Linked DNA regions of Mytilus edulis. Each later gene encodes a partner of the first gene's protein in a complex. Links are inferred from orthologs where the notes say so. Each region holds a gene or a part of one and is shown in the gene's direction. Other genes may lie near its edges.

Region 1 (10,210 bases):
GCGTGTTTGTTTTTTCTACATTGGATAGAGGTATAAGGGAGGGCTGAGATCTAAAATAAAAAAAAAGCAGAATGTTTAACCCTACCGCATTTTTGCTCCTTCCCTAGTCAGGAGCCTCTGGCCTTTGTTAGTCTGAATGTGTGATAATTCATTTTAGTTCATTTATATATTTCGGAGTTAAGTATGACGTCCATGCTCACTGAACTAGTACACAATTTTGTTTAGGGGCCAGCTGAAGCACAAATCCGGTCGCGGCATTCACTGACCAAAGCATGTCTTATAGTTTCATCTAACGAAAGTAACAGAGTGCTCAAGTTCACTTCCAATCGATAGATTTGGGGGAGAAATCATGTTATTATGAAAAACAAAAGGATGATGGTTATATTTAGACGAACTCTACAATAAAGACAAAATGACGTAGAAGTCAACAAATACTTGGATAGGCAAACGTATGACCTTCAACAATGAACAAAAAATAGGGCATAACAAACTAACAAACTGAAGGCACGGCGAAATGAAAATCTATAAAAAATCAAACGAGAAAAGTAACGAGAAAAGTAACGACCTGGTTAGTTCCGTAAAATCATCTTGCTCAGTCCTTTAGCTAAGTTTTCAGTAAATAATCAGCTGCATTCCACCAGACATATCATTAGTTACATAGTGTGTGCAAGTGACCTAAATACGGTATATATGGGGTCAGTAAATTCCATATGGGGTGAGAGCGAAGCTCGAATCCCCATATGGAATTTACTGACCCCATATAGAATTTACTAACCCCATATATATCGTATTACGTCACTAGCACACTATGTAACGAATTTATCTTACCAACTATCTGAACGTGTGAAATTAAGACTAGTGATTCTCAAAATGAGCAAATCTTTAATACTGTTAACATTAAGAAAATACTTCCATTGATCCTACAAAAACAGATGCCAACAATAACGACTTGTTAGGTTTAAATGTGTTTTATGAATTTATTTCAATCAATTTCAAATTGAAGATTTTTTTTCTTCTTCTTCTTCTTATGGTATCCAGTTATCCATCAGATTTTTGATGATTACTAACTGCTGCGCATGCGTAGGATAATAATAAATAAATATTTACAAAATAAAAGTGCCAAAAAATAAACAAATACTAACATGACATGTGGTCAAAACTATTTACATAACTACTAGGTTTACTGTTCTATATTGTAGAGTGATAACGATTACAGGCATATCTAGCAGCCCAACGTTGAACCATCTCAAGTTTATTGCATTGTTCAGCAGTATGAGGGTTCCAAACCGAACAAGCATATTCTAGTTTAGGTCGGACAAGTGCTAGATATGCCTGAGACTTAATGTTTGTAATGGATGTTTTCAGATTTCTTTTCAGAAAGCGTAGGCTTTTATTAGCATTACCAATGATGTTATTTGTATGCTGTTATCATTTTAAGTCTGATTGCAGTGTTACTCTAAGATATTTTGCGGAGGAGACAGATTCTAGAGTGTGGCCGTGAAGGATGTAGTCGTGTTTGATGGTATTTTTCTTGTTTGAGGCAGTGAGAACTGTACATTTGTCTGGATGGAAAGCCATCAGCCAGTCTTCTTCCCACTTTGCAGCAGCATCAAGATCTTCCTGAAGGCTATCACAATCTTTTTGAGATTTGATGCTTTTGTATATGATGCTGTCGTCTGCGAACAGTCTGAGTTTACTAGATTTCATATATTCTGGTAGGTCGTTAATATATACCAGGAATAGAACTGGACCCAGAACTGTTCCCTGTGGGACACAGAGGCGGATTTAGAGGGGGGGCAGGGGGCCCGGGCCCCCCCTTTTTTGGAAAAAATTTGGTTGCTTATATAGGGAATCACTGAAGCATGTCTGGAGCGGGCCCCCTCTTAGGTCAGTCAGTGGGCCCCCACTTATGAAAATTTATGGATCCGCCACTGGGACACCAGAAGTAACTGGAGCAATGTCTGATGACTCACCATCCAGGACAACGGTTTGATAAGAAGGCAGAGATCCAGTTAAGTGTTTCATTTTGAATACCGTAGAAATGTAGTTTATATAAGAGTCTTTGATGTGGGACTTTGTCAAATGCTTTGGCAAAGTCCATAATTACAAGGTCTGTTTGGGTGTTATTGTCTGAATTTGAAGCTAGTTCTTGTATGAAAGATAGAAGTTGTGTTTCACATGATCTAGAGTGTCTGAAGCCGTGCTGAAGGTCGTATAATAGGTTGTTTTTTTCTAGGTGGTTAATTAGGTGTTTAGTAATGACATGTTCCATTAGTTTGCAACTGATACAAGTGAGAGAGATTGGTCTGTAGTTGACTGCGTTGTATTTTTCCCCTTTTTTGTATGCTGGTGCGACATTTGCATGTTTCCAGTCGGATGGTATACATCCAGTTGTGAGTGATTTTTGGAAAATAATGGTGAGGATTGGTGCCGTAATGTTTTGAAGTTGTTTTAGTACTCTGTCGCTGATGTTATCTCGGCCAGTGGCTTTGTTCGGATTGATGTTGTGTAAGAGTTTTTGTATGCCAGGTGTGGTAATTGTGAGTGATGGTATGACTGGATGGGGACTTGGCCCTTTATCAGGCATATTATTTGTTGTTTCAGTGGTAAAGACTGATTAAAACTGCTCATTTAAAATGTTGGCTTTTTGTTTTGTATCAGTTGTTAATTAGCCCTCTTTTTTTAGGGGAGAAACTCCACTATTGTCAGTTCTGATTGATTTTATATAAGAAAAGAGTTTCTTTCGTTTTGATTGGTTGCTGTAACTTAGGTCCGGGTCATTTGTTGGAAGGTCAAGGATCATTTTTTCTATGTATGTACAATAGGCACGTCTCTGTTCTTGTTGGACTTGTTGTTTTAGTTTTTTTATATTTAACTATATAGTTTTTGTCCTTTTTTATTTTAGAGTACAATTTATTCTTTTTATTTATCATTTTTCTGAGTTTGTTGTGCACCCAGGGAAGTCGATGTTTAAACGTTAACATTTTATGTGGGATGTTTGTATCTATTGATTTTGTGATATTGTTTTTAAATAAATCCCACATTTCATTGATAGTACTATTGTTGTTATTGTTCATAATAGTAAGCTCTTCTAGTGTTTTTTGTAGGTCTGCTTCTATATTTTCCCAGTTTGCTTTGTCATATTTTAGTATTTTTCTCGGATGTTGTCTAACTTTTCGAAGCCAAGTGTCTGTTTCTATGTAGACGATATCGTGGTCACTTAGTCCTAGTGGTGGTACCTAGTGTGTTTACTTTGTTGACAGTTGTTGGAATGTTAACTAAGATTAAGTCTAGTATTCTTTCTTTTCTAGTTGGTGTGTTAACTATTTGTTGAAGGTTAAAATGTTCCAGTAGTTCTAAAAGTTTATTGTGATGTTCAGCATCCGGTTTACCGGGTATGACCTGAGGTATAGACCACTGAGTCAATATGACCTAAGTTAAAGTCACCACCAATCATGATATTAGTATTTGATGATTCGTTAATTCTACTAAGTGATAGTTCTAGTTGTTGTATAAAAGATGTTCCTTTATCTGATGGTGGTCTGTAATATGCACCTACTAATAATTTCTTACTACCAGTCATGTTTATTTGAGACCAAACTATTTCACAGTCAGTTTTAAGTTTACTTACTTCTGTGCTTATAAGTTCTTTATTAATGGCAATAAGTACACCTCCATGACTTTGGTTATTTTTATTTGGTGGTCTGTCTGATCTATAGACATTAAATAGTTCTGGTGGAAAGATTTTTTCTAAGTACCGTTTTGTTTTTATAAAGGTACATAACACCATTACTAACGGTGTATAAAATAAGCCCGCCCCTTCTTACCTAATATGGAATATAAAGGGACGTAACTCCACTACTAAGATAAAGATAAGATAAAGATATTTTATTTCCTAATCATAGGGCTCATAACAAGCATGTAATCACGTAAAGTAAAAATAAAAAGCCTTTCTCTCCCAGTCGCATACACTCACACATACAACTATCGTTCTGATTAAGGATGATTGATTTTACAGTACAACATGTATAAAATGAAAAAAATAAAATACAGATAAAAAATACCAATACAAATGTACTTTTTTTATGAGGAGAGTCAGTTGCCTACATTGTATATATGGAACGAAAGATAACTCTTACTGCCCAGAAAAGAACAATTCAAGTATATAATGTTACAATGAACTGTTGAAGACTATAAATAAGTTTTATAAGTTTCAGTTAAGCAAATATTTAGTTTCTCAATGTGTAAAATGAGGATAGCAATTCACATAATTTAGAGTTAAAATGAAGGCTATTGTTTGACATAAACCAAATAAGCAGATTACTATCGGATATTTGGGATAAATATAGGTATTTTGCAAAGAGTTCATCCAAAAAGGTTTTTCTTTCCTTATTATAAAGGGTACATTTAAATAAAAAATGTTCTTCGTCTTCAACCGAGTTCATTGAACAAAACTGGCATGTTCTCTCTCATCTTGGCAGTGTAATATTTTTTCCATGGTCATCAATTTTTCGTTCGTAACGGCCTCTCTCTACTAACCGTGTATGAGATAAGCCCCGCCTTCCTACTAACCTAATATCAAATATACACGGTTTGAACGCGGACGCTTTTAACCAATCATATTCCTGGAAATGTATAGGAAGTAAAATAAATATATGTCTTTGATTCCACCCTATCGTGTTTAAGCCGGGAAAGTATGCTGACTAAAATCCAAGTTTCATACTGAAAGAGTGTAACATAAAATATTGTCCTCCATGAAATATTTTCAGTCGGACAAATTTTCATATAAAATATTGTCCACTGACAGTATTTCATAATGAGATATTGTCTTGGACAATATTTCATTATGAAATAGTGTCCTTGTCCATGAAATTTTGTCACCTCCTTCTGCCTGTTCTGGACAATATTTCAATATGAAATTCTGTTCATGACAATACTTCACTATGAAATACTGGCTTTGAAAATATTTTTTAATCGAATTATTTCACAATTAGAAATAGTACACAAGCATGCAGCATGCACATTTCTAGATTTATAACTGAAATTGTTTTGTATAGTAGAGAATTTATATTATTGTTAATAGTGAGTTTCAAATTTGCATAGATACACTACAAATGGTTAATTACAGATTAAAGAATTGTCTAACAAAGGTTTCATTTTATTACATTATACTGTACAAATATAAGTAATGTACTGACAATCGTTTATTTTGTAAATATAAACACAAGTATGTATCGCAGAAAAAAATCCTATATACCTTCTGTAACATGAATATATGTTGTAGGGTATCGGGACCGTTCGCCCTAATAGTATGTTCGCCCTAGGTCCGTTCGCTCTGAGTTCGTTCGCCTATAGAGTCCATTCGCCCTACTATAAAAATATTAATATTGAGGGCATTGAAGTTGAATTAACTTATTTAGATATTTCTATGGTATGTATGTCATGTATATTCTTGAAATTTATTGAAATATTGAAATATTTAAAAGTTCATGGCTTGTTTAGGATAATTAATTGTTCAATGACAAAATAATTTGAATCACTGATTATTGTGATACTTGTCTTTTGGTGGATTAATAATAAAAACAAACATTTTGTTTTGATAAAATATTCAGCTTGAAATTAAGAAAAACAATGATGAACAACTGTAAATTATGAAACAGATAAAATTTACAAGTTCATTTATTTATACTCTAGTCTAAGACTAGTCATATATACTGCCATACATTCGTGATTGACTGAATACAATTATTTTGTTAACAAATATCAATAAAGATGAATACATTGTATTCCAGTATTCTACTCTGTAAATCAAAGGGAAAATGATAAATTGATTGCGGCAGTATAAATATTCTGTCAAATTAAAAAAAAACAAAAACTTTAACATATTTTGTTCAAATACTTAAAATAATGTGACTAGACAAAAACTAGAAAAAAAATAAAACTCAGGGATTCTGTTGATAGCCTCCCCTTCATGAGACAAAATTTAATGACAGTTTGTCTATGAAATGTTGTCTCAATATTCACAAAATATAACCAAAATATAACCTCCCTTTAACAGGACACATTTTCGTAGTATTTATCTATGAAATATTGTCTTAATTCACACAAAATATAACCTCCCTTTAACAAGACAAAATTCCATAGTATTCATCTGTGAAATATTGTCTATTTATACAGACACAAATGCACTATGCAAATTTGTCCTTCTCTGGACATTTTTCCATAGACGAGGACAATATTTCATGATACATAGTTATGAAAAATTGTCTTGTGGTACAATATTTCATAGGACAATATTTTGGTTTACAAGAGCTCATCATAACTCACGTTTGATTGTTATTGTCAGTATCACATATTCAAACTAATTTATTTTTTCCCCCTTAGCATTGGGCTCGTTACAGCAGAGACATATAATACATGTATTATATGTCTCTGTTTTAGCAAACCGTTTCGAAGATATCCTGGTGTGCTCCATGTAGTGGAGAAATAAACTGACAAGTGAGAAAGTTCGTTCTTCCAAATGAAGGTACGAAATGGTATCGACTTCCTGTCGATTTTGCAATTAAGAAAAGATGAAAGTTTGGTGAATATAAAAGAAAGCTGCACAATTTTTACCAAAAATATCCCATCTTTAGATGGCAGGATTGGAAGATTTAGGAATCCCTGGAGGTGATTACCTCAGAGAGTCCCTAACAAATTGCTCGGACCCTCTAGCTGCTATCGAAGAATTTCAAACAGAAAATGGAATTCTTTTGCCATCACTTCGTCCTGCATTGCCTTTTCTTGACTTGTTTGAAATCAAACGCTTAGATTTCCATAACTCAGTTCTTGAAGAATTAAGTGAAAATTTAACAAACAGAATAGCAGAACTGGCCACCAGTGAACAAAAGAATAGATTTACAACACTGGAGTCCTTGTTGGAAAAGTGTTTCCCAGTGATAAGGGTGAAAAATCTCAGACCTGTTGTCATGTCAATATTGAAACATTTACCTAAGATAGATGATAAATATCTGACAAAAATTCTTGAAGACAAAGAACTTTACTCAGAAGCTGCAGTTGAAGTTAAGAGGCAAATTTGGCAGGAAAATCAAGCACTTTTTGGGGATGAAGTCTCCCCTTTACTTTCACAATATATAAAAGACAAAGAAAGTTCACTCTTTAATCATGAGCACAGCACATTAACTTTCTTTTTGCCATCCCCCCGAATAAGAAGACAGACTGATATAGTTCAAAAACTGGCTGAAATGGTGGGAAGAAATGTTAAACTGTATGATATGGTGTTGCAGTTTTTAAGAACTTTATTTCTTCGGACAAGAAATGCTCATTACTGTACTCTTAGAGCAGAATTATTGATGGCTTTGCATGATCAAGAAATAAATGAAATCTGCTCTGTAGATCCCTGCCACAAGTTTACATGGTGTGTAGATGCCTGCATAAGGGATAAATATATTGACAGTAAAAGATCAAGAGAATTGCAGGGTTTCTTAGATGGTATTAAAAAAGGACAAGAATTTGTTCTTGGGTAAGTATTTTTCACATGTACTACAATGTACAAATGTACATGTAACAGTAAAATTGGGAATTTGAAAACTTGCTTGCTACAAATGTAGGTGATCAATTTGGGCTCTTGTATATTTAATTAGGAACCCTAAGATACAAAATATAACACTCTGCAAGAAATTATGTCACATGGTCACAGGGACAGCAAAAGTGCAGATTCATTTTTCATCAAAACAGACATTGCTTTTGTCCTTACATTTGTGTACATCATCTTGCATACATGTACACATGAACTTTAACTGATGTATTCCATAAGAGGACAAATCAGTATGTATGTATATACCAATCTTTTAAGTCACTGGTTCAACCATACCAAGCTCACACACAACATTAGGTATTTAAACATGTATGTTACATGTACATGTACATATATCTTGAAAATCAACTATAATGTACCTGTATACAACCATTTACCAATATAAGAAAATGAAAAGTTAATGTACAGATTAGTATTTATGTGATTTAGATGATCTGTGTAACTCTAACCACAAATTACATGATTCCAATGCAATACTTTTGTTTTTATCAGTAAAAAGTAAATGTGACTGAAGCATTTTTTTTTTTTTCATTCAAGAGACTTGTCTATGATTTTGTGTGATCCCTATGCGTTGAACACCATAGCTTTGTCCATGATGAAGACATTACATCATTGTGTAAACAATGATATTTTACCAAGGGTAAGTAAAATATAAGCCAGGAAGAAATATCTGAATGAAGAGATATATATATATATATTTCTCTTCATTCATTTTCAGATATTCTCGCTACATTGAAGACCTGTTGGTGACCTTCTGCTGTTGTTTTTTCTATGGTTGGATTGTTGTCTCTTTGACACATTCCCCATTTCCATTCTCAATTTTATATATATATTTAGACTTGTTTTATATATAAACAAGTCTAAATATATATAGCATTGCACGGAGACCTTATCCCCTCATGTAACTCTAGCTTATAAATATAAGCTTTCGTTTCGGGAGGTGTTACCTTCTTGTAGGAATTAAACAAGGATCTCTGATACAATACATGAATTATTACACTCATCTGCGGCTTAGCTTAGCGAAAGGTAGTGCGACGTAATCAGTCAAACAAACTTTATTAGATTAACTCTCTAAGGAACGATCGTTTCCATTGGTCAATTCAAACCTTCGACTTCACACCTTCGAAAATAGAACACACATACTATAACGTTGAATGGACTGATTAATATTCACGTATCTGGTCAAGGTCGTTTAAAGCTTCCATCGACGTATTCTCATACATGATTCCAATCACAATTCTAGCTTTTATAAATGTGCATGTGAAATTCATTGGTTTTATAGTTTTCTGCAATTGGTAGTAAAGTTTAAACTATAAAATCTTAACAGTTTTTACATTTAAATATTAATATTAAAATAATTTAAATGTCTCCTCTAGATCAAGGGACGACATCAAAAGTTCAATGTAGGATAAAAAAAATCAATTCACATATGGTTTCATTTACTCCCCCCCCCCCCAAGTTGCTTATCCTGCATTTTCTTTTACTTAATGGACTCGATGAATTAACGTTGTACTTGAAAAATGAAACCGTACTTTACTACAAACACTTCATATTCTTTTCCAAGTTTTATGTATTCGACATAGGATAGCGATTTTTTTTCTGATTCCGTTTACTTGAAGAAAAAAAATCCCGAAATTGTAAGTAAATTCATAACATGTAACCAACCTTGCTTTGTTAAGAAAAAACGGAGATGGCCAATCATGGCACAGGGGATGATTAAATGTAGTTTATAAACTCCAACGATATACTTAGGTTTTGCTATTCTCGGTTGAAAAACGAACGTAAATTATATATTGTAAGTATTTAAAGACCGTTGGGTTTCCAGTTTAGATGGTTTTACACTCATGAGTAATTTTGGGGACCTTTATAGCTTGTTGTTCAGTGGCTCCGTGTTGAAGGCCGTAAATTGACCTATGATGGTTTACTTTTATAAATTGTTATTTGGATGGGGAGTTGTCTCATTGGCACTCACACCACATCTTCCTATATCTATGTAAATAGAAACAAACAGTTTTTAAAAAAGTGTTTTTTCATTAAATCATTTAAATGTATCGATAAAAAGGTGAGTGTCTTCTTGTACATGTGCATTTAGTCATCCTTAATTTCTTGATATTTTGTTTATCAGTTAAGGCAGCAACCATTTGATTTTCTGGGGGGGGGGGGGGGGGGCTATGGTTTTTTTTCTGGACAAATTTTTTTTTCGCCTATGGTGAAAAACAATCTATTTTTTTCGCGACAAGTCGAAAACAATTTTTTTCTTTCAATTTTAGCATTACATATAGTGGCAGCTGAGGGTGAAACAAACATTTTTTTTTCTCAGAATCAAAAACAAATTATTTTTTTCTCTAAAACTGGAAACGAAACTTTTTTTTCCAAAAAAAAACATACCCCCCCCCCCCCAGAAAATCAAATGGTTGCTGCCTTACCATACACGTTTCGTTTTTCATTTTAAATACGAATACATGCTACATATACTTTAGCGGATAGTCCAACAATGTTATGCAGCTCTATTCTTACAGTATAAAATTGAAAGATAAATGTTCATCCATTTAAAATCGAAAACAGTATATTTGTATTTAAAAAAGAAGATGTGGTATGATTGTCAATGAAACA
Region 2 (9,941 bases), about 63 Mb from region 1:
AATCCTTAACTCATGCCAGTAGATAAACGTTTTTCTGCAACTGGTCAGTTAAATATGAATTTAAGCTAGGCAACTTAATAAGTATATCAGTATTGCTCAAATGAAACAACAGTTGACACTTCCTTAATATTACCAGAGTTCACACACACATTGTCTGCTTCAGTGCAAGCCTCAGATTTATATATTAACACAGAGAGGAAATTACAAGAAATTTGCTCAGCACTTATACAGATATTAAATAACAGAACAAAAATATTTTGTAACTAATTACCATAGACATTTACCAACATTAAGCAATATATATGTCAGAAATTTTTAGCACTGAAGATTAATTTCCAACTGGTCAGATTCTGGTTGAGATAAGGATCTAAATTGTAGAGTAAGTTTTTTTATTCGAAAACCAATTCTAATGATGTTTTTTTTTTTGGCATACAAATGCTTTTTTGTTTACAACTGTTTTTTTTTCTTTCTAATATCTTTATCACTTTTAGAGTAGAAGTTACAAGTAAACTAAGACAAGCTCACCATCTACATTTCTAGTAACAGTTTCATGTGCAGACTTCTGTCTTTCTTGTATGCTAAATCCTCCTTCTATAACTCCAAACAGTGCTGTCTTCTGTAACTTCTGTATCATAAGTCAACAAAAAATTGTATTAATAAAAGCTAAATTAAAAAGAAGATGTGGTATGATTGCCTATGAGACAACTCTCCACAACGACCACAAGAGACCAAAATGACACAGAAATTAACAACTATAGTTCATTGTTTCTAAAATAATATTCTTTAAAATAATGAACACACTCGATTAATTCCCCTCACCCACTGCAAAGAGAAAGTATGCAAAGTGTGACAAAAAATGTAGGTGTCAAGTAAACAGAAGGTACAAGTAAATACCTAGTGGCAAGACAGTTACTCTAAAAGACTTTAAGAGACATACAAACCTGAGAACTTTTCCATTTATCCTGAATTTCATCAAGATAGTTCAAAGTTCTATCCATTGCTTTCAGTAATCGTTTGCGAGTAGAATCTTTATTTGTATCCCCGTCATACAATGCTTCACAGATATCAGGTTGAAAAGCTTCCTGGATTTGCATAAAGTGGATGACATCTAACTTTCAAATAAAAAAGTTTTAAAAAATAATAATACATGTAAAGGTTCTTTCATCTGATACATCAGTACTTTCTATGTCTCATTGTTCTAATAAGGGTTGAGATCTCATAAACTATGTTAAACCTCATTACATTTATGTGTCTGTCCCAAGTCAGAAACCTCTGCCGTCTAGTCTTTTTTAGTCTTGCATGTTTTTAAAATTTTAGTTCATTTATATGTTTCAGAGTTTAGTGTGACTCCATTTTCACTGAACACATTTTTGTTTAGGAGCCAGCTGAAGGCTGCCTCCAGGTGCGAGATTTTGTCGCTGTGTTGAAGACTTATTGGTGGCCTTTGGCTATTTTCTGCTCTTTGGTTGGGTTGCTGTCTCTTTGACACATTCCTCATTTCCATTCTCATTTTTATGAATAGAGTCTTATATTTTGTGAATAGAAAATAATTACCAGGAACAGGAAGGGCTATAAAATTCTAAGATTATCCTATCCATGAAATAATTGTATAAATTCATATTTTCTAATCCAAATTAATGAGTCTATATTTACTGTAAATTCAGAAATTATTGTGATGTTTTTATTATTGCGAAAAGTGTGACAGGGTTATAATCTCAATAATTTAAAAATGCATTTTGAAATTTTTTATAAGAATTAAAACAGGATTTTGCTCAATATCGCAACAATTAAAATCGCATTTTAGTCTAAAATTACAAATTCACAATAATAAATACACGCAATAGTTTCCGAATTTACAGTTTCCATTGTTTTTGTGTTGTTGGGTTAAGAAATTTTGTTTCCATTGTTTTTGTGTGTTGCTAGGTTAATATCTTTTTTATGTAAATGACCCACCTGCTTTCTTTCCTAATAATCCTAGTAACAAGATGATTCTTTAATGCAGAATTAAATTTATAACATTTCAAACTAGGTCATTAGCCTTATTTTGTTATAAATACACTATTTTAATTTTCTGTCTGGTAAACCAGCAACAAACCAAAATAATTTTAGAAGTAAACATTTACTTTTTACACGTTGTGACTTGGATGCCGAGTTGTCTCATTGGCACTCAAACTACATCTTCTTTATTTCTATTTGAAAATAACACCAAATAATTTTTCAGCTCTTTTAAACTTTTTGCAAATAATAGTCAGCTTATAAATAAAGGCAACAGTAGTATATTGCTGTTTAAAATTAATAAATCGATTGAGAAAAAAAAAAAACGGGTTACAAACTTAAACTGAGGGAAACGCATCAAATATATAAGAAAAGAACATACAAAGTATCTATAAAGGTGAAAAGGCTATACCTTATACTTCCCTCCCTTTGTCCAGATTGCTGTCCCTGATTTTTCATTGTATCCCGAAGGTACCTCTGTAGCTGGGTCATGTAAGGAACAGTAAACTGCAAAATCCTTTAAAAAAATTATAAACTTTGTTTTACATTTTCTTTAAATACACATACACTTCCTAAAATTACTAAAATTTCAACATATGTATAACTCATGTAATTACAGAAACAAAATATTTCTCCTATATTATCTTCAAACATGGGCCCATTAATAAAAATAAATGGATGTGTTGCTGAAAGAATCTAAAATCAAGTTTATAAAACCTGTACAGATTTTTACTCCACGGTTTTGCAATCTGTTGTTTGGCATTTTTTATCAATGGAATATATCCTGTCATTAAAGGTTATGTAGATATTGATATAAACTTTAAACACAGATATATGTCTCGCCTATTTGTGTTATTTTGATAATACAAATATTGAAATAAGAATAGCAATACTTTAACATATAAGTTATGCAAAGATTTAAAGTCAATGAACCATGACTGAAGGTACAGGGCTAAACAATTGCCATGGAAATTAGATGTGCCTATGCTAATATGTTTTACGAGTTGATATAGATGTATTACGCGTTATAAGCAACAGACATTGTAAGTCTGAGGTACTATTTGTCAGTAAGTCTTCCATATAATACAGACATATTACTGATTTTTAACGGACATAGCTATTTTACCTGTGTAGAACTCACATTTAAAAAGACCAATATTTTTTGGTGTAGAACTAAAAGCTGAAGCCATATTTACCTGCATGCCACAGAAATTAGCTATTCCTTCCTTAAACTGTGTGACAGCTTCACTATGTTCTGCCCTGGAAGAAAAAAACATTAACAATTCATGATGATGATGGTGGGAGTTTTTAACAACATTGACTGACTATACAGCCCTCAGGTAAAACAATCCATTTATATTACATCATAAATTTACATGGATATATTAAAGATATAATGAAGGTCATACTCCATACATAATATACATCTTGAATTTATACATTTATGTTGACTTAGTCAAATTAAGGCATGCATATTTCCCATAATAAATATCTTTAAGGGCATGAATGAAAAAGTGAACATCATAGATCATGGGACATAACTCTGCTTATTCCATTGTAAAGGGAAAAAAATGATTCATGGTTCATCTAATTTCATTGTAAAATTATGAAATTGAATCATAATGTATAACATAAAACTGAACAATGCTTTTTGCATTTTAAAAAGTAAAATTTCAACTAATACAATGAAATTTAAAAAGTTATAATTACTCGTTTTATTTTACTTACAGAGAACTTAAATACATGTGAGCCATTGGAGGAACTCTCTGTATCTTCTTTAAGACGTCTAACGTCAAATGAGGAGCATTGCCTAAAAAAGACGAAAAAATATAACACGATGTAAATGTCAATTGGTATATATGACAAAATGCCACTGAAATGAATGTAAACTGTTGGATAGGATTAAATGAGAATTGAAAACACAATGAATTATAAATGTGGAAACTAAACAGTATAACAGTGTGGTGTAGCATACAATTTTATTTCAGTGGTAGGTTATAAGTCATTAATAAAAATAGGATCAGTTATCAAAAATGGAATAATTATTTTATAACAGAAATATTGTCCTAAAAACATACTTTTCATTTCTATGATACAAAACACAAACAATATAGGTTTCTGCAAATTTCTTCAATTTCTTTTTAAACTCTACTTATTTTCATATCCATAATTTACTTACCTCCTCTGGTATATAACATACACATAGGAGTTTCTATACTTTTGGTTCCATTCTTTCCTAGGTCAGTGATAAGCCCTAAACGACAACCATTCTTCACATTCTGCACAGAAAACTTCATTTTTTCTTACAGTTGTGTAATTCAAATCAGATGGGAATACTAAAAATAAAAAAAAACAATGATAAAATATTATAAATTTAAAGATGCAATACTGAATGTCATCATATCGTGTATGTGTATCATATCAACTTAAAAAAAAACCCTAATTTTCTAGTAAACATTGCTGTGGACAATAGACATATTTACACTTGTATGCAAATTTGTACGCCATTACGTAAAATCACACAGGTTCCCGTAAACTCTGACATCATAATTCAAAAATTTGACTTCACATTTAAAAAGTGATTGTTGCTTGACGTCAAAAAGGTGATTCAGAGTAGATTTAAGGTCATTTTGAGGCTATATATAGCTAAATACTAAAAAGTGTAAATGCGTTAATGCTGGGCAGAAAAACCATTTCAAACTCAACCCTCCAATTGTGAACTTTCCATTTCTAAGTAGCAACATTCCAGCAGCACCTGCATACAGGGTACATATCTCCTAAATTGGTACGATATTTCCGTGCTTGTTTTTCTTATCATGATTTTCTTAATAGAGGGTTGCTGCTCACAAGGAAGCTATTAAACCAAGAGTTTCAAATGGCTTCATAAATTTTACAGATGCCATCACGAGTTGGTTGACCGTTATGGAATAACTGTTTCACAGATGATATCGGATATGTTCCTTACGTCATAACTACAATCCCTTTCCCTTTCATGAATGTGACCTACCAATTTAGACTATTTACCGGTTCTGTTATAACATGAGCAACACGACGGGTGCCACATGTGGAGCAGGATCTGCTTACCCTTTCTGAGCACCTGAGATCACCCCCAGTTTTTGGTGGGGTTTGTGTTAATTATTCTTTAGTTTTACGTGTTTTGTCATGTGAACTATCGTTTGTATGTTTTTCTTTTTCATTTTTAGCCATGGCGTTGTCAGTTTTTTTTCGATTTATGAGTTTGACTATCCCTCTAGTATATTTTGTCCCTCTTTTTAAGCTTATTTTTGTTAAATTCGGTATTGGGCTTATCTGATTTTTACAGAATTCTTGATAAACAATTATCTGACTTTGGGAATTGAAAACTCATTGTTTAGGATCCTGGACGAGATCTTTTTTCTGGGGGAGGGAAATTTGGGAAGACATATCTCTCAACCCTGCACATAGCTGACAATAGCGACAAATACAAATGCAGAATAGCTGTATGCTTACTGTTTGCATTATAAATATAGAAGAAGTATATGTCAAGAGAGAGAGGCAGACAGATACAGATGTGACTGTATACTGTTTTGACAGTTGTTTCCTTCATGTTAGTGGGTGTGACATTTTGTTTCGAGAGTAGGACTTTTCTAAGAAAAGCTGTAAATTCTTGGAATGGAACATAATTATCTAAAATTCAGTTTCTTCATACGGTTTGCTTCTCTTTATTTTTACGTGTACCATGTGTACTCACTATACTATTTTACTTGTTTTCATTTGTGGTATTTAGTGAGTCCAAAGGGACCCTTAATTTCTACAACAAAAATATTCCTAAGAATGAATCTCAAAAAATAAATACTCTCTAAAAGGTTTCATTAATGAAAATTTAAAAAAAGCCCATTGTTATCAAACATTTAAACATTTCTAAAACCATTAGTTTTTCTGATAAATGTTTTTGAATTTAATTCTCCCATTTGGATGTTTTTTTACCTTCTACAAACGAAAGCTGATATTTTGTGATAGATAGATTATAATTTTACGGTTTTGAAATATAGAATACAGAATGGTTCACATTATTTTTCCACCAACACTGACAGAAGAAGAAGAAATTCTCAAACAGAAATATGCAAAATTAAGAAAAAAGGTTAACATTTAAGATCGTGTGCAATGGTTTGCTTGGAAAAACAACAAAAAAATGACCAAACAAACTTTTCGAGTTTTCCACTTTTGGCCGAAACGACCAAGGCCAAATCGGCTTCATACATGAATCATCTTTTTTCCTATTATTTATCTTCTTCATGATTTTTTTTTATAGTCATTTACATTTCCTTAATGTGTCCTCGATAATACCAGCAAATATCTAATACCACAGTCACACTAGGCCACGATCTGTGAAAAAAAATGCAAATTTTAACGATCATAGTGTGATCTTGTAGATCTAAGTAAGGTCGTTATACGGTGGTGGTAAGGTCTTCAAGATCGTGATGAGCGTGGCCAACTTTGAACATGTTCCAAACAATCATGGTGCTGTTGAGGCGAAATCAGGTCGTAGTAGAAGTGTAGTGAGGGTGCAGCAAGGTAGTTGTAAGATCGCAAAGGTCTCTGTACCATCTTAGCAAGAGCGTAGCCAAAGCGTGATTCAATTAGGAGAGACTGCGCTACATGTACGATCTCACAGCAACATTACTGCAAGCTCACTATGACCATCACAGTCTCACTGCGATCTACTCTTCCATTATGGCTATACCACATTTACACCATGCTGTTTAAGACCATAGTCAATTCTAGCACACCAATGCCATTATCATCACGCTCTTCTTATAACCTGACTAAGTTCATACTACAACCATCATGCTCATTGTCATTTTCACATGAAATACATAAAAGCCCTCCAGGTTTTGTTTGTCTATATATATGTAATTTGGACCTTTTGTTGTTTTTCTCCAAAGGCTCAACCATGCTTGATCTGTGTCATCCCTGCTATTGTTCACTAAGGCAGCAACCATTTGATTTTCTGGGGGGGGCTATGGTTTTTTTTTCTGTACAACCTTTTTTTATCGCCTGCGGCGAAAAACAATCTATTTTTTTCGCGACAAGTCGAAAACAATTTTTTTCTTTCAATTTTAGCATTACATATAGACTGGCAGCTGAGGGTGAAACAAACATTTTTTTTTTCTCAGAATCAAAAACAAATTATTTTTTTCTCCAAAAACTGGAAACAAACTTTTTTTTCCAAAAAAAACCATAGCTCCCCCAGAAAATCAAATGGTTGCTGCCTAAAACATTGTCATTTGAGCTTGATGGACCAGCAATAGGTTGTGAATCAGGTTGGATTGCTTGGTCCGACATCTCTGCTAGATCAGGATTAGTTACTATCAGAGCTCCCTCTGCCTCTACATCTACTCCTACCACCATGCCCATGTGTTCTGGTAGATTTTGGTGGCATGACTGTGTTTTTTCCGAGAAATCTACGTTTTAATCAGAAATATAAGGAATGGAAAAGTATTTATATGGAACAGGATGTTGATGTTATTGCTGAGAATGTAGTAAGATCGCAATATGAATGTAGTATAATTGTGTTAAGAACGTGCTTTAATCGCAGTAGAAGTGTGGTAAGATCGTGTTGCAATCAGATAACTTTTGGTACAGTCGAAGTGAGAATGTGATGACAGTAGTAAGATCATGATAATGGTAGGAAAAGCGTGGTGAGAACGTGGTATAATTGTAGTGGGATCGTTGTAGAAACATAATGAGGACGTAGTTTCATCATGAAATAACGAAAATTAACATTTTCCTAATGCAACCTCACCACAATCTTTGTTTATATAAGATCTTGGTTAGCATGGTGCGATCATGGTATAGTGTGACTTGGGCTTTACAGATGTACTATCTTTGGCATATCCATCACTTAAAGAGTAACAAGAATGACTGAATTACACCGTTATTATCCGCTGAACAATTGTAATATCCAAATAACACTTGAAATTTGAATACTATGTTATATTAGTAGCTCATATTGGTGACTTTTAAACATTGATTATTAAATAGTAATATATAATTGATGTATTTTATAACTTATAAAATGATTTAAAGAAAGCAGGTAAGTTCATAAAGATCATTTTAAATTTTGTGTGTACATCTAACATGGCAGCCATTGTGATTTCTGTGGTCGCCATGTTGGGTGTACACACTTTATTCAAAATGATCTTTATAAACTTACCTGCTTTCTGTAAATCATTTGTAAGTTAAAAAATACATCGATAATATACTATTATTTAATAATCAATGTTTAAAAGTCACCAATATGTACATGCACGTGCATATATTAAAATTTCAAGTGTTATTCGTTCATTACAAGTGTTATTTGGATTATAATGGTGTTATTCGGTCATTCAATGTACCGTCACTTAAATGGTGTCAGACCTTTAATTCTGACAGTCCTTAACTCCAACAATCCTATGGTTTGACAGTCCAATAATGTGGCAGTCTTTGAAAAATTTTTGTACAGAATATAGATGTGTTACTGTTGTAAATTGGTATATTTTTTCACACAGAAAATTATCAAATCAGTCAGAATGATGCCTTGTACAGAGTCACACTAATCCCATATGAACAGGAACTGAAGCAGCTGTCTAAATTCAATTGGCAAACTTCAGATGAATCCGCTAATAATCTAAGATCATGTAGATGGTGGAACAGAATCAACCAAGTTTTGACAATTGGGTCTAAAACAGTAATAGGCCAGTCTTAAATGATTAATAGGAGAGCATTTATTACTTCAACATCAACCAGAGTTAATCAAGTTGCCATTTTAAGTGCATGTGCAACAACAAAAAAACTATTAAGAAAATTTAGGAACATTTCATTTTGCAAAGACAATTTTATATAATCATGATATATCAGTATATCCCTTATTATTTTCAGAAAAAAGCGTTATTAGCTGCTAGAACTCCAAAACCAGAGAAAGAACAACCAATCAATGCGCCAACAAAACGAGGTATATATTTCGAAGAAGATTAAAATCATTGAAATTTAGATCCATCTAAGAACTTTAGAATCTCCATATTTGTTCATGTTTTTTGGTGAATATTGTACTAAGACTATGTAGTCATAAAGTATTAAACACCTTTTTAAAGGAATTTATTGGTGTATAAACTTAACCAATTCACTCTTAAACAAATAAAGGAAGGACTTTTATAATATGTTTGTGAGTGACTTGGCCCAGTTTATACATACAATAAATTCCTTTAAATTGGTGTCAAATCCTTATAATTCTTTAAAATTTAAGATAATAAACTTAATTTCCTCACTTGTAACCTCTATTATACATAGATTTTCAAATTGAGAATGGGAATGGGGAATGTGTCAAAGAGATAACAATCCAACCAAAAATTGTATATTTGTGTCATTGAATGAAAATTTAATTGGTGCATAATGTCGAGAGCCACTACTGGAAGCCCTCTCGATCAATCATATAAATGTATCATAATAGCCAAATCATATTAAAATTGTGATTAATTAAAGGCCCTGTTTAAAGGAGATGAACTTAAGCCAAGTTGGCTGAAGGAGATACCAGTACTTTTAAGACTGTGTATAGATCATAAACTTAGTCAGCTTCTGAAATGTTGTTAAGATGAAGTATTATGACTTGCCATTAAACAATTGAAATGTATGGCATATTTTGAAAATTTGCTCACCTGAAAATTAAATTTCTGTATAATAGAGTAGAAGAAAATTATAATCCTGATCAACATGATCAAGATAAATTTAAAATACACTTTTTAATGAATGAATTAAATCTAAAGCATTATTTAGTCATTTTGATTTTATTGTAGCGCCTCCAGAAAATGCAGGAGATGCCACACAACAAGCTAAAAAATTATTGAAGTTAGGGGTAGGTAATTGTAGGTGGATCCAAGGGGGCCCTGGGGCCCCCCTTTTGTGGGAAAAATTTGGTTGATTATATAGGG

Evidence for each region.
Region 2: negative elongation factor B-like (region 1) and negative elongation factor E-like share a complex: the UniProt entries of both Drosophila melanogaster proteins name them as parts of the NELF complex. The link is inferred for Mytilus edulis from reciprocal best matches to the Drosophila melanogaster genes NELF-B and Nelf-E.

What each region holds. Positions count from the first base shown.
Region 1 is NC_092345.1:65,341,243-65,351,452, reverse strand, and holds the start of negative elongation factor B-like, read left to right. Parts: upstream 1-6,441; 5' UTR 6,442-6,635; coding exon 6,636-7,522; intron 7,523-8,134; coding exon 8,135-8,237; intron 8,238-10,210. UniProt on the Drosophila melanogaster protein: Essential component of the NELF complex, a complex that negatively regulates the elongation of transcription by RNA polymerase II.
Region 2 is NC_092345.1:2,449,920-2,459,860, forward strand, and holds the start of negative elongation factor E-like, read left to right. Parts: upstream 1-5,952; 5' UTR 5,953-6,034; coding exon 6,035-6,115; intron 6,116-8,895; coding exon 8,896-8,968; intron 8,969-9,806; coding exon 9,807-9,865; intron 9,866-9,941. Other genes in the region: queuine tRNA-ribosyltransferase accessory subunit 2-like, read right to left, coding at 526-625, 942-1,112, 2,408-2,512, 3,192-3,255, 3,724-3,805, 4,175-4,292. UniProt on the Drosophila melanogaster protein: Essential component of the NELF complex, a complex that negatively regulates the elongation of transcription by RNA polymerase II by RNA polymerase II. The NELF complex, which acts via an association with the DSIF complex, causes transcriptional pausing.